3 linked regions of the Rattus norvegicus genome follow. The main gene of each other region encodes a partner of the protein of the gene in region 3 in a complex. Links are inferred from orthologs where the notes say so. Each region holds a gene or a part of one and is shown on either strand. Other genes may lie near its edges.

What was found. Proteins that work in one complex are often made in the same cells at the same time.
Region 1: Snrpd1 (region 3) and Gpkow share a complex: the UniProt entries of both Homo sapiens proteins name them as parts of the minor spliceosome. The link is inferred for Rattus norvegicus from reciprocal best matches to the Homo sapiens genes SNRPD1 and GPKOW.
Region 2: Snrpd1 (region 3) and Lsm3 share a complex: the UniProt entries of both Homo sapiens proteins name them as parts of the U4/U6-U5 tri-snRNP complex. The link is inferred for Rattus norvegicus from reciprocal best matches to the Homo sapiens genes SNRPD1 and LSM3.

The regions. Positions count from the first base shown.
Region 1 is NC_086039.1:17,475,419-17,479,630, reverse strand, and holds the start of Gpkow (G-patch domain and KOW motifs-containing protein), read left to right. Parts: upstream 1-1,332; 5' UTR 1,333-1,427; coding exon 1,428-1,597; intron 1,598-2,716; coding exon 2,717-2,874; intron 2,875-2,977; coding exon 2,978-3,102; intron 3,103-4,212. UniProt on the Homo sapiens protein: RNA-binding protein involved in pre-mRNA splicing. As a component of the minor spliceosome, involved in the splicing of U12-type introns in pre-mRNAs.
Region 2 is NC_086022.1:125,576,773-125,581,064, forward strand, and holds the start of Lsm3 (U6 snRNA-associated Sm-like protein LSm3), read left to right. Parts: upstream 1-1,412; 5' UTR 1,413-1,512; coding exon 1,513-1,533; intron 1,534-2,214; coding exon 2,215-2,325; intron 2,326-4,292. Other genes in the region: Xpc (DNA repair protein complementing XP-C cells), read right to left, coding at 1,160-1,253. UniProt on the Homo sapiens protein: Plays a role in pre-mRNA splicing as component of the U4/U6-U5 tri-snRNP complex that is involved in spliceosome assembly, and as component of the precatalytic spliceosome (spliceosome B complex).
Region 3 is NC_086036.1:1,968,135-1,972,538, forward strand, and holds the start of Snrpd1 (small nuclear ribonucleoprotein Sm D1), read left to right. Parts: upstream 1-1,539; 5' UTR 1,540-1,656; coding exon 1,657-1,670; intron 1,671-4,180; coding exon 4,181-4,257; intron 4,258-4,404. UniProt on the Homo sapiens protein: Plays a role in pre-mRNA splicing as a core component of the spliceosomal U1, U2, U4 and U5 small nuclear ribonucleoproteins (snRNPs), the building blocks of the spliceosome.

The DNA.
Region 1 (4,212 bases), on a different chromosome or scaffold from region 3:
TTTATAGTCAGTTTGGCACACCTAGCTGTTGCCAAGTAACTGTGGGACAGAGTTTAGAGTAAATGCTAACAGCTGTTGTCCTCGTAAACAAAGCAACTCGTCAAACCATCACTGATGGGGAAAAAGTACAATAGGCCCCTTCCTCCCCTGCTGAGCCATCTCTCTAGCCCTGCCTCTGAAATTCTTGTCCCAAACTTATAACCTCAGACTAATAGCGAAAAGTTAACACAACAAGCTTTATTGGCGTTATGTTCTTCAAAATAACTGAGCTATATTTTTAAAAATCAGTAAAGACGGGGTTGGGGATTTAGCTCAGTGGTAGAGCGCTTGCCTAGCAAGCGCAAGGCCCTGGGTTCGGTCCCCAGCTCCGAAAAAAAAAAAAAAAGAAAAAAAAGAAAAATCAGTAAAGACAAAGACTAAAAAACTAGCACTAAAGACTACAGAAGACAAAGGAGGCATACAATTATATTGCAGTGTATGAGATATCAAAACTGGATCCTAGAAGGAAAAAATGCTTAATTAACAGAATCGCACCCAGGGATAGGGGTGTGGCTCAGTGATTAAAAAGAAGCAACATTATACAAATGTTCATCTCCTGTTTTGGATAATTTATAACACTGTTATGGAAAATCTGTAATGTTATCTTGGTCAAAAAATATGGGGGCTAAGTATGAACAGTTGTGCTGCTCTGGCTGGGGGAAAAAAGCAACTGAGTCAAGCAAAGAGGCTTCAACCCAGAAGGTCCTGGCTCTTCATGCCAAAAACCAGAAGACACTGCCTCATCCAAAAGCTCAAAAGGGTTAGAAAAGTGCAACATAGAGATTATGTGTAACAAAGGCACTTTACAAGAAAGCATAAGAAACTGGGGAATGGGAGAGAAAAAAAGAAATTAAAGGAATACAGATTAATGGTACAGTGCTTCCCTAGACGAGGCCCTAAGTTAAATTATTAGCACTGCAAACTGAACCACATCCCAGGTACAATCCTGGTTTTTCACCTTATTGACACTTTCTACATCAGTAAGATTCACATTGTGGAAAAGCACATTAAATTATGTGCTTGTCAAATACAAGATTTATTTATTTTGTTTTGTATATATAAATATTTTGCCTGTATGTACATCGTGTGCGTACATGTCGGAAGAGGGTAGAACTGAATTCCTAACGGTTTAATACCCAGGAATAACCTAATCAATCTTCCACCGCGACTACACCACTAAGAACTACATTTCCCGGAATGCTTAGTACGGCACCTTACTATGACGTTTAAAGAGTTCCCAAGCTCTAATTCCTGTTTCCCACGGCTTCAAGGCACCTGTTCTTGAGGCGTTGCATTCTGGGATAGATTCTGGCGTTCCTGGGCGGCCCTTAAGGTACTAGAGTTAAACTTCCCAGCAGGCAGAGCGCTCGCCTGGGACTCGAGCCAAGATGGCGGGCCGTGAGAGTCCGCCACCGGCTGCCGCGTCCACAGCTCCGATTTCTTTCGGTTTCACTCGCACATCTGTCCGGAGGCGACTGGCAGACCTCGGAGACAGCGAAGGACAGGCCCCAGAGAAGAAAGATTTCTTGGCGACTGTGGAAGGGAGGGAGCTGCAGAGGTGAAACGCCGGGTCTTTTCACGTCTTAGAAATCGGTGAAATGGGCTTAAGCGGGAGGGCAGAGTAAGGTGAAACGCCGGGTCTTTTCACGTTTTAGAAATCGGTGAAATGGGCTTAAGCGGGAGGGCAGAGTAAGAGAAATTTATGCTGGTGACAGTGGCCTGGAAAGCCTGAAACAGCTTCGGGAAATTTATGGAGGTAACCAGGAGTGGCGGCAAATGCCTGTAAGTCAAGACCTGGGAGGCTGGCGCAGGAGGATCAAGAATTGAACGCCAACCTGGGCAATTTGAGAGCCTATATTAAAAAAAAAAAAAAACAAAGAAATTACTAAAATAAGGGCAAGAAGAGGGAGGTTTGTTATGTGGATGAAATGGGGCTTGAGAATCAGAGATATAAATTCCTCAGAGAAAAAGTCGTGTGCCTTTTAAGAAAGGGAAAGGAGGGAGAATGACAGGATTCTTCCTGTCTCAACTGAAATGGTGGGTGCTTCTCCGATTTGAAGAATGAGGCAAAGTCAAGTTTTGGGAGGCCATCATCAGTATAATTAAGAAAGGAAGATCCTAGAGGCCTAAGTGGGGGACTTCTAAACGGCAGTTTATGGGCCTGGAACTAAGAAGCTAGACTAAAGGTGGTGAGTTGTAGGTCATTATGCTTTAAGGCCTAAGAATGATTTGCACAAGACACATTTAAAGCTGGGACCCCGGAGAGAAATGATACATTTGTATTGGTTGTATTTCCAGCACTAGGAAGTTGTACCAGGTTGACTGAGAGTTTATAAGACCAGCATGGGATGCATCGTGAGATGTCTCAAAAAAGATGAGTGGACCTTTAATAGTAACCTGTGGAACATGGTCCATAGGGCTAGGCATTGATATTTATTTTGTTTGTTTGTTTCTTTCTGGCCATTGTTTATTTTCTTTGTTTCTTGATATTTTTACTTTATTTAGAGGGGGTGTCAAGACAGGGTCTCTCCATGTAGACCAGGCTGGCCTTGAACTCAGGGATCCTCCTGCTTCTGCCTCCTGAGTGCTGCTGGGATTAAAGGCATGCATTACCACTACCCGGCTGATATTTCTACTTTCTAATATGTCTACAACCCTTTTTCTCTATCCACATCAGTGTGAACCCTCCAGAAGCTCCAAAGGAGCTGGTTATCCCATTGATCCAGAATGGCTCTCGCAGGCAACTGCTGTCCAAGAACCCTAAGCCCTCAGAAACAAGCACCGTGTTGACGTCAGATGGTGTGTTGTCCCAGGCTGTGAAGGAACTCATTGAGGGTGAGTGAAAACCTTCCTCTTTGCTCTGCCCTAGTGCAGATAGAAGGGGAAGAAGTTGGAAGGATAGGGTATGGCCTCATTGATCCCTCCCATTCTTCCTTAGAATCCAAGAAGTCTCTGGAGGAGAGGGAGAATGCAGGTGTTGACCCCACGCTCACTATCCCCATGATCCAGAAAGGATGTACTCCCATTGGGGAAGGAACATACAGCGAACCTCAGGCTGAGACAGTGAGCTGTCCCTTTGCCTCCCTCCTACACTATTCCTTCTACCCTGTCTGCCTAGTCTCCTTGCACATAGCAGGGAAAGTGTGTGTGCATGTCCCAAAGCCCTGCCAATTAGCCTTTCCTCCTTCCACCCTTATTAGAAGCATTAACAAAACAGAAAGCAGGGTGTTTAAAAATGTACGTGAATGCTGGGATTATCTGAATGAGGTAGACAACAAAGTGGACAGGAAATACAAATGCCATGAGGGTGTACACTGTTTGGAACCACATTTGTCTGTTTCCTCTTTCTTTTTTCTTTGTTCTGATTTTAGCCTGCAGTGTTTGAGGAGCACTAAGGAAACCTATTACTGGATTGGAATGAATGGGGAGGGAGTGGGCAGTAGATGAAGGCAGAGGGGGCCAGATTAGAAAGGGCATTCTGACCCACAGAGCAGACTTTTGTCTTTTACTATGAGTGGAGTGAGAGCTAAGGGGAAGTCTTGAGCAGACAGGGTTAGAACAGGGTCCCCTTTGTCTGCCCTGACCAAAAATGACTAGGAAGTGAAGGTAGGGCAGGAAGGGAGTAGACTAATCCAGAATAGAGGTCGTAAGGATACACACACATAGAAGTGACTGGAGTGAGAACTGGAAGGGTAGTTAACATTTAGTGAGAGAAGAATGATCAGACTGGGGACTCCGAATGGCAGCAACAACCCAAGAAACCCACCCTTGTGGGAAATCAGTTCTGAGGCATCTTGCAGTGTGCCGAGTAATGATAAAGGAATGAAGAAATGACAACAGATGAGATGGAAAATGTGTTTGTAGAAATAAAGTTTGAGCTCAGCTTCTTAATGTTTTAGCTTTTTTTTTTTTTTCTTTTTTCTTTTCGACATAGGGTTTCTTTGTGTAACAGAGCTCCTCTGGCTGTCCTGAACTCACTTATGTAGACCAGGCTGGCCTCGAAGTCACAGAGATCCACCTCACTCTGCCTTCTGAATGCTGTAATTAAATGGGCCTGGCTAGTGTTTTAGCTTTTATTCATAAAATGTTTGTGATACACCCTCTCTTTCAGCTAGTCTCAGTCTTCTGATGTGCTTGGCTTTCTTCTTTTTGAGACAGTTCTATGTAGTCTAA
Region 2 (4,292 bases), on a different chromosome or scaffold from region 3:
AGAACATTCTAAGCCAAAGAAACACCAAAGGCTGAGCCTCCAGATAAATAAACAGTAAGTCTAAAGAGGAGAAAGATGGTCAGAGAGAACCAGGCATGGTGACATCTGCAATCCCCGTGATCAGGAGGTAAATTAGACTGGAAGATCGACTTCTAGGCCAGCCTGATATTTAAACAGGAAAAAAATCAAAATAAGAGTATCTGGAGAGGAGACAGAGTAGAATTGTGACAACCTCCAAATCTTGTGGGAAACAAGCTAAGAGAGGTAGATGCTATACTTGGAGAGCATAAACCTAAGGAGGTTTTAAGTAAGAAGACAGAGGCATAAGGTTTTGTTGTGGTTCTACATCCATTTGGCTGCTAGATGATGGGGCAGACAGATGAGAGGAAGCCAGAAAAGAAGCAACCTGAAGTTCATTTCCTTAACGATATGGACAAGATCTCTAGCTATAAAATTAAGAGAATTAAGTACAGATTTCGGTGGTTCCAAAGCTGAACTGGACTTGATGCCGAACTGGCAGTTAAGAAGAGATGTGTTCTAACGTGTGTTTTAAAAGGGATGATTTATTGAAATAGAACAACTGGGGGGATGGATATGTTTAAGGGGAAAGATGGATCTTGTTCAAGATCTAGATTAAAAACTCATTCCAGCCAGGGCGTAATGGTGCATGCCGGTTAATCCCAGCACTAGGGAGGCAGAGACAGGCGGATCTCTGAGTTTGAGGCCAACCTGGTCTACAAAGCAAGTTCCAGGACAGCTAGGTCTACACAGAGAAACCCTGTCTGGAAAAACAAAGCAAAAAACAAGAGTAACAGAAAGCGCATCCTAAAAACCCGGAGCTGGAGTTACACTGGATGGCAGTCAGGAACTTGATGAGAGAGATCTCTCACTACAGGTCTCCCTCGGTCCTGGTTTTTGGCATCTCCTGAGATACCAGGCAATTGCGAAGCTTTCTCCAGCTCGGCCTTCAACACTTGCTATGGGGCTGAACTTGGTACTAAAGGTTAACCGAGGGGTTAAGACAGATAGCAGAGGCCCTCGGGGGCTGGAGGGGGGACGCATCGGGCCGTAAAGACCTTGCGGTAGACACAGATCCGCTCCGCCGCCCGCCCCAGCCTCCGCCACCATCGCCTGACATGCTGCAGACTTGGCCTCTCACCCGCATCGCTCTCCTCAGGCCGGGTTGCTTTGTTGTCCTCGGCTTCCTGGCCGCGCTTCCTCCGCTTTCCGCCTGCGGTACGCTTTCGGGCCATGCTAGCCAGAGGCGTTCCTCCGGACAACCACGCAGGACTGCCGAAAGTCTCCGCGTGCCGGCTCCGCCCCGAGGCGTGCCATGCCTGGCCGCACCCCCAGCTCCGGATAGGACCACGCCCTCCAAAAAATCCCGCCCCCATGCAAACTACAAGGGCGCGAAGGGACAAAAATAGTGTAGTTCGCCTTCCAGTGCGTGGCGGCCCAACGTTTCCTAGTGTCTGCTCTCGCGAGAGGTGGAAAGGGCGCAGCGTTTGAAACATGGCGGACGACGTAGATCAGGTAAGTTTGTCCTGGGGCGTCCGAAGAGGAAGTGCTTTCGTTTCTTAGCCGGGCTTGCTTTTTCCACGCTTCCCGTGGAATGGCCCTTTTCTTTTTCCCGAGTTCCCACGGCCTTCCGCAGCCAGGCCTGCTCCTAAAACTTCCGTAGGCCCAGAGTTTCTCAACCCGCCCATCTGCCCATCTCGCTCGTCGTCGCCCTTTCTCTGTAGAATGCAGACGGCTGTGGATATCCCATCTATGGGAGATACGGTCGGGATTCCGACAGAAAGAGTACTGTAGCGGTAGGACACCAGCATAGTAATACGTGTAAGCACCTGGCACGCAGGCAGTGGCTCACTTGGAGTGTGTTACGAGGGGAGGTCAGATAAAAGGTGCAGTTATGTGAGATAGAGAAACTGCTAGAGATGTAGTATATAGAAAACAAGCAAAGACCTGGCACACAGTGTTTCTCTTCAGAGCATGTTGTTTTAAATGTGTTCTTTATTTAAAATGTTCGTTCCACAACTAGAATATAAGTTCCTTAATAGGGATTTATTGGGGCTTAGTGGTTAAGAGCACTTTTGGCTCTTGTAGACAACCCTGGCTGTGTACCAACACCCACATGTTGCTTTCACTGCTTAACAGTGATTGAAACACCACACTACCTCAGTGTTCCATTACTAAGCCTTCTTCTCTCATCAGCAACAGACCACCAATACCGTAGAGGAGCCCCTGGATCTTATAAGACTCAGCTTGGATGAGCGAATTTATGTGAAAATGAGAAATGACCGAGAGCTTCGAGGCAGATTACATGTAAGTCTGTTAAGTTATCTCAAAACCAGATGCTCCCCTGTCATCCCTTCCTACCTCCTTACAGATAAGAACTGCAACATAAACTTATTTTTTTTAATTATACAATGACTTTTGGGAGTTGGAAATTCCTTTATTGGCTTTTAAAATATTTTTTCCTTAACCAGAATGTTTTTTAGAGAGGGATGGGACTCCTGTGAGACCAGAACAAGGCATCTGATTGCCCAGAGCTGGAGTTACAGACAGTTGTGAGCTGCCTGGTGTGGTTGCTAGGAGCCAAACTCAGGTCCTCTGCAGGGATAACCAGTGCTCTTAATTTGAGCATCTCTACAACCCTGTAGAACACTTTTGTTTTCTTCAGCTTTGTCCTCTGTTTATTTAAAATGAATAAACTTCTTTTTGTTTTAGACAAGGTCATACTATGTAACCCAGCTAGCTTCAAACTCAAGATCCTCCTGCCTCTCTCTCCTTAGAACTGGGATTTTAGACATGCACTACCACTCTTGCCATTGTCCTATGTTTTTAAAAGTTATTGGACAGGGTGTTTTGGTTTTCGACATATAAAACTCTCCTTTGACATGAAAAAAACTAAATAGCAGGCCAGAGATCGTTCACCTAGTATGTGGCAAAGCCCCTAGCACTACCAAAAAAAAATTAAACACCATAGAAATCTAAAGGTGAAATTCCATTTTCTCTGCACTATTCAAAGTTGGCTACATAGTCGTCCACATCTTTTCTGCATGTGTATATGCTGTCTGTGTTTGAAGGAGGATCCTAGTGAGGTACGGTGGCATGTGCCCATAATTCCAGTACTTAGATGACTGAGGTAGGAAGGTCATATATTTGAGGCCAGTCTGGACTACATAGTGAAACCTTGTCTGGTATGTACACACCTTTTCCACACGGTTTCTGTGTGGAATGATTATGCAGCTGACACAGTTGCCCAGGATTCTCTATAAGGCTTCGGTCACTTTTTTGTTTTTCCAGCCTTAAAACTGCATTGTGCACTTTTACATATATTGCTTGTGCACATTTATGATGCCTGTGGAATTGGTCCCTTGAAGTAGCATTATTGTGCACTTAGGGTTTTGTCTCTTCTTGTTACTTTCCTCAGAGCTGTTGGTTTACAACGGGAATTGGAATTAAGTCTTTTTAGTTCAGGCTTAGAAATAGCCCCATACTGGCACCCACAGAGCCAGTGTGGGGGACAGTCTCAGTCTTTCTTCTATGAAGAAATTTTTAGTTCTTTCATGAAACCTGAGGATAAAGAACCTCTGTGACTTGGAAGGAAATTGGACTGTTGATCTACAAGCCAGCATTAGGGAAACAGCGGTGCCAGTTTGGTGAGAAACATGGGATGGAGCTAAATTGAAAGGCTCTTCGGCACATGGAATGACCCCAGGCTAGACCATCGCCTTTAGTTTGGAGGTGTCTGAAGCTCTTACCTCTGTAGTAAGTGGCCCAGGTTTCTGTTTCCTCCCTGCTCTCCAGCTGAACATTTTGCTCATTTGTGTAGCTGCCAAGCAGTTCCTTCTCAATGTGGCGCCTGGCTATTTTTAATCTTGATATGAGCAGGCAAAAGCACTTAGCACTTTGTTAGAAGAACATATAAGTGGGTTCTGAACAAGCCCCAGGAGGTTTGCTGTTAGTAAAAGGGATGAACTTTGGAGGTTGCACTAAACACTGTGGTTGCAATCCTTCCTGCCTGAGCCCACAGATGCCAAAGCATGTTAAGCTCTGGACAAGTTATAAATGGGCAAAGTAAAGGTGGGACAGATGATTGGTGGGTAAAGTTTGAGTGCTGAAGTTTAGATCCCTAACACCTGTGGAGACCCCAGAACAAGCTCTTGCGTTCAACTTAAAGACACTACCTTAATACATACGGTGGGGAGCAACTGAGGAAGGCATCTGTTTCAGCCTCTGGCATCCACACACTTGTAAACATGCAGTACCCGTGTATACTGTACACA
Region 3 (4,404 bases):
CAGTATTCTTCCTGCTGTCCATCCTTACCCTTGAAACATACAAAAATATCAAGCTACAAAATAAAAGACAAAAGAAAAATGTGTTTGATATTCATCTAGAGACAATGGCTTTTCTCTTTTGGGGGGACAGGTTTCCTCTATTTGACAATACGTTTTAACTAGATTATAACATTACATGTACAAACATCTGAAAAGAAGAGTGAGCTTAATGAACTATGAGATGTTAGACATTCCTATATTACTGAGGGGGAAAGAGATGGGTTAGAAGGAAGATGACCCCAAGTGGAAAGGGGATTTGTGGGTAAGAGTACCAGTTGCTCAGTATTGGCATTACTGCATTGAGTGATATGCACAAGGTCTCCTTCCTTATAAAGCGCACGTTTTAATGGAGAGAAGCATCTAATTGTTCATGCATATCAATAGAGGACTATAGATTTAAAGAATAAAATAAAATAAAGGACTATAGATTTATCTTGACATTACTAAAATTATTTTGAGTGGAAACTATCAAAATTATCCCTGAGTCACCATGGTCAGCTTCCCAGAATAAAATAGACAAATCACGAGAGAGTTGTCTGAAGCTTTATGACAAGACCTTGGCCTAAGGATGTACCTGACTCTGATTAGCTTGAAATAGACAAGAAATACTCTTAGTTGGGTGAAATCTGGTGATGCATGCTGGCCCCAAACTTGCACCACCATGCCTAGCTCTGAAATAACTTTCACCTGTTTATACCCCACATACCTTCTAACCCTAATCACAAGGACCTATGTGCTTTTCCTGATGCCCAGGCCAATGTATCTGTTGTAAGTCACCCATAAACTGCACACTGCAATTCTGGGCTTCCCTGCCTCCTCCTTTGATCTCATTGACCCGTGGGACCAGTTCCCATACATTGGAACAGGGGCGTTTTGTGACAAAAGCATATTCTATGAAAACAGTATTCTAGATATTGGAGAGCACAGTAAGCAGTTGTATTCCCTTGCTTTCAGACACAACATTCTCCTGAGGACCAAAAATAATACGTTTTAGAATCAAATGATAATAAATTAATATTATCCAAACTTCTTGTGATAGTGGAAATTATTTGCACTATATTTGTAATTATATCAATTGTAGATGTTGTGTTACTAAATTTAACTGTGTGGTTATTGCAAATAAGGAATTGGATTTTTTTAAGTCGAAGGACTTACTATATATAAAATGAAAGGTTTATTTAAAACTCTGTCCAAAGATCTGATTGGCTTAGCTTAGCCAACGAAAGACAACTTGCAGGATTGATTTCCCTGCTTCCAACATGTGGATCCCAAGGATTAGGCTCGGATCTTGGAGGGCTTCTCTCAGAACTTTTCCTCCTTTGACGTGTGAAAGTTCCAGGCCTTCACAACTGGTTTTAATAAATTCATAAGTGGTCTCGGACTCCTGCAGGTGTAGTCCACCAGCCCTTCCGCCCTCCGAAGGCGCAAAGCGCTCCTCCCGTCGCTAGGAGCCGCTGTCGCTCTCCCGGTCGCCGGAAGGCAGCGCGGCTTCCGCGTTCTCGTCGCGCATCCGCAGGTCTCCGCGCGCTCTTCCGGCCATTCATACTCCTAGTCTGTGGGTCTTTGGAGCCTGAATTCCGTGGACAGTTGGACTAGAAGGGAGACTGCGCCGCTAGGATGAAGCTCGTGAGGTGAGGAGGGTTACCTGGCTGGGGGAGAGCGGCGGGTAGAGAGTTTGGGCCAGCTTAGGAGGCCGGGCCGCTGTGCTCCCAGGGAGGCGGGAAAGCCGCGTGCGCGCGGCCTGCTAACGGCCTCCGGCGCCCGGGCCCCGCCGCGCCCTGCTCGTCGCCCAGAACCCTGGGCAAGGGACCGGCGCGTTCAAACCCCCTCCGGTCTTACAGGAATGAAGTGGCCAAGCCGTCTCTGTCCACTTCTCATCCGGCGACTTAAACGGAGCAGTGGTCCCTCCGTTTTCGTGGCGAGTCGGAGCACTTGCAGTGACGAGGATTTAGAAGTAGGATGGTTTTATCTGCAAATAACGACGCCGATTTGCAAGACGTTTTAGATTAAGTTCTCCTTAATTTTGACCGACCAAAGCATGTAACTCGTTAATGTAGGCTTCTGACTCAGGAAAGACAAAGTGTCTCTGGATGGGGCAAAAGGTAACAAGTTAATTTCTCCTGATTGCATAGATTATGTCGGAAGTGGAGCCTAACTAGAGTCTTGTTTGCTGGTTTGATTAATTCCAAACTTACAGACTTGTGGCCAAGTCTGGGGCAGGGTATATAATATCTAAGCCAGTTTTTAGAAATATTTAGTTTCTTGTGTCAAGACCTGTTGTAGTTGACCAGAATGCCTTTGGACACTTTAAAGTGCTTCCCAAGTGCTAGATTACAAGCATACATTTTTCTTGGTTTTGCTCATTAGAAAGTAAATTACTATTTGTGTGTGCTCGTGCACAGGTATGTTATAAGACAATTTTTGGTAATTTGTTTTTGCCTTCCACCAGGGTCTCAGGGATTAAAACTCAGGTCCTCAGCCTTTACAGCAAGTACTTTTTACCTGCTGAGCCAACTTGATGGCCCTGCTCAATATTTTAGTCAATTAATTGATTTTGTTAGTGGTAATGATTGGTTTTGGGGTGAGAGAGTGCGCGAGTGTGCTCCTTGGTTGGCTTGGTGCTCACTGTGTAGACCAGGCTGGCCTTGAATTCACAGAGATCCTCCTGCCTCCGCCTCCCTAGAGCTGTATTAAATGATGCACTACCATGGTTTGATTTAGTTTGGGTTTTGAGATTATATTTATGTGCAGGGTGGAGGGTGCCACAAATTAGGCAGAGGCCGGAGCATCTATGTAAATTCAAGTCCATCCTGATGAATTCCAGGATAGCCAAGGCTACACAGAGAAATCCTGTCTCAAAAAAAAAGAGTTGCATTTATTTATGGGGGAAGTTTGTGTGCACAAAGATGAAAGGACCCGTAGGAGGAGTCGGTTCTCCATTATTGGGATCCTCAGACTTGGCAGCAGCAAGCGTTCACCCTCTGTGCATATATACCGGCTTGCTGTGCTTCTTCCCAACACCCCTCCCCCACCGTTTTTTCTTTTTTTGCATAGATAGAAAATTGGGAGATTGTTAATTGTTACTGGTGAGGGCCTGCATAAATGGGTTTGTAACGGCAGAAAGTTGAAAACATCATTCACAGTGGGGTAGTTGACATTTCCATATAGTAGATTACTATCTAGCTCTTGGAATATTTATTTTTAGGGAATTATCCCCAGTGTAAACTGCTAAATAAGCTCCAAGTACTATTGATGCCATTAAAGAATAGCCTACTTTGTGTAAAGTAGAATCTTACATGTATGCTTGTGGGTTAGAATAATATCCCTGTTTACCAAAATGCAGGAAAAGAGAAGTTCTTTATTTCTACCATGTAATCTTATGCTATCAATTAGAATTCTATTTCCTTTTTGTGTCTGAAAATTAGTCTAGGGTCTTTTGTTTGTTGAGACAATTTCACTGTCACTATGTAAAACAGGCTGGCCTCCAATTCACAGAGACCCATTTGTCTGTCTAGCAAGCACTGGAATTAAAGGATGCACCACCACTCCCAGTGCTACTCCAGGATCTTGAGATATCTTCATTTAAGGTTGTTTTGTAATAGTCTCTTTCTAGTATTCTCTAGTCGGAAGCTCAGGACAGCCCAAGTTTACAGACTCGGGTGAAAGCTTATTTGAGTGCTCTGCAGCCTGTGAGCTGCAGGTGGACCCAGTAACGTCCAAAGATGCCAGAGGAAAGTTTATTGCTTCATTCTTTTATAAGTTTATGAGTTTGGTTCAGAAAAAGTTAAGCACTGTGTATTTATTATGAAGAATTATTTTTAAGATGTTTATTTTATGTGTGAATGTTTTATCTGCATGTATGCATCACAAATTTGCCTGGTGCCTAAGGTCAGCGTAGGCCTCCAGATCCTCTGGGAGCAAAGATAACAAATGTTTGTGAGCTTTCGTGTGAGTTCTGGGACTCAAACTGGGTCCTCTGCAAGAGAGGGGAGTGCTCTGCACTGCTGGTTAGCTATCCAGACCCCATATGAACTGTTGTGGCATTTTAAAGATTTTGATCTCTAGCATTTTTACTCTACCGACTTCATCAAAAGACTTAAAATGTTAAGGTAAAAAATCAGGACTTTATTTCTTTTTATAGATTTTTGATGAAATTGAGTCATGAAACCGTAACCATTGAATTGAAGAATGGAACGCAAGTCCATGGAACAATCACAGGTGAGAAGACTGTTTCTGAAATGTTTTTGTTTAAGGTTTTTTGTTTGTTGTTTTCTTCCTTGTGTTTGTTTAATGAGCGTTGTTCTTTTTGTTTCATTCTTTTTGTCTGAATTACTGAATGGAACTTAATTAAACCTCATCTTTTTA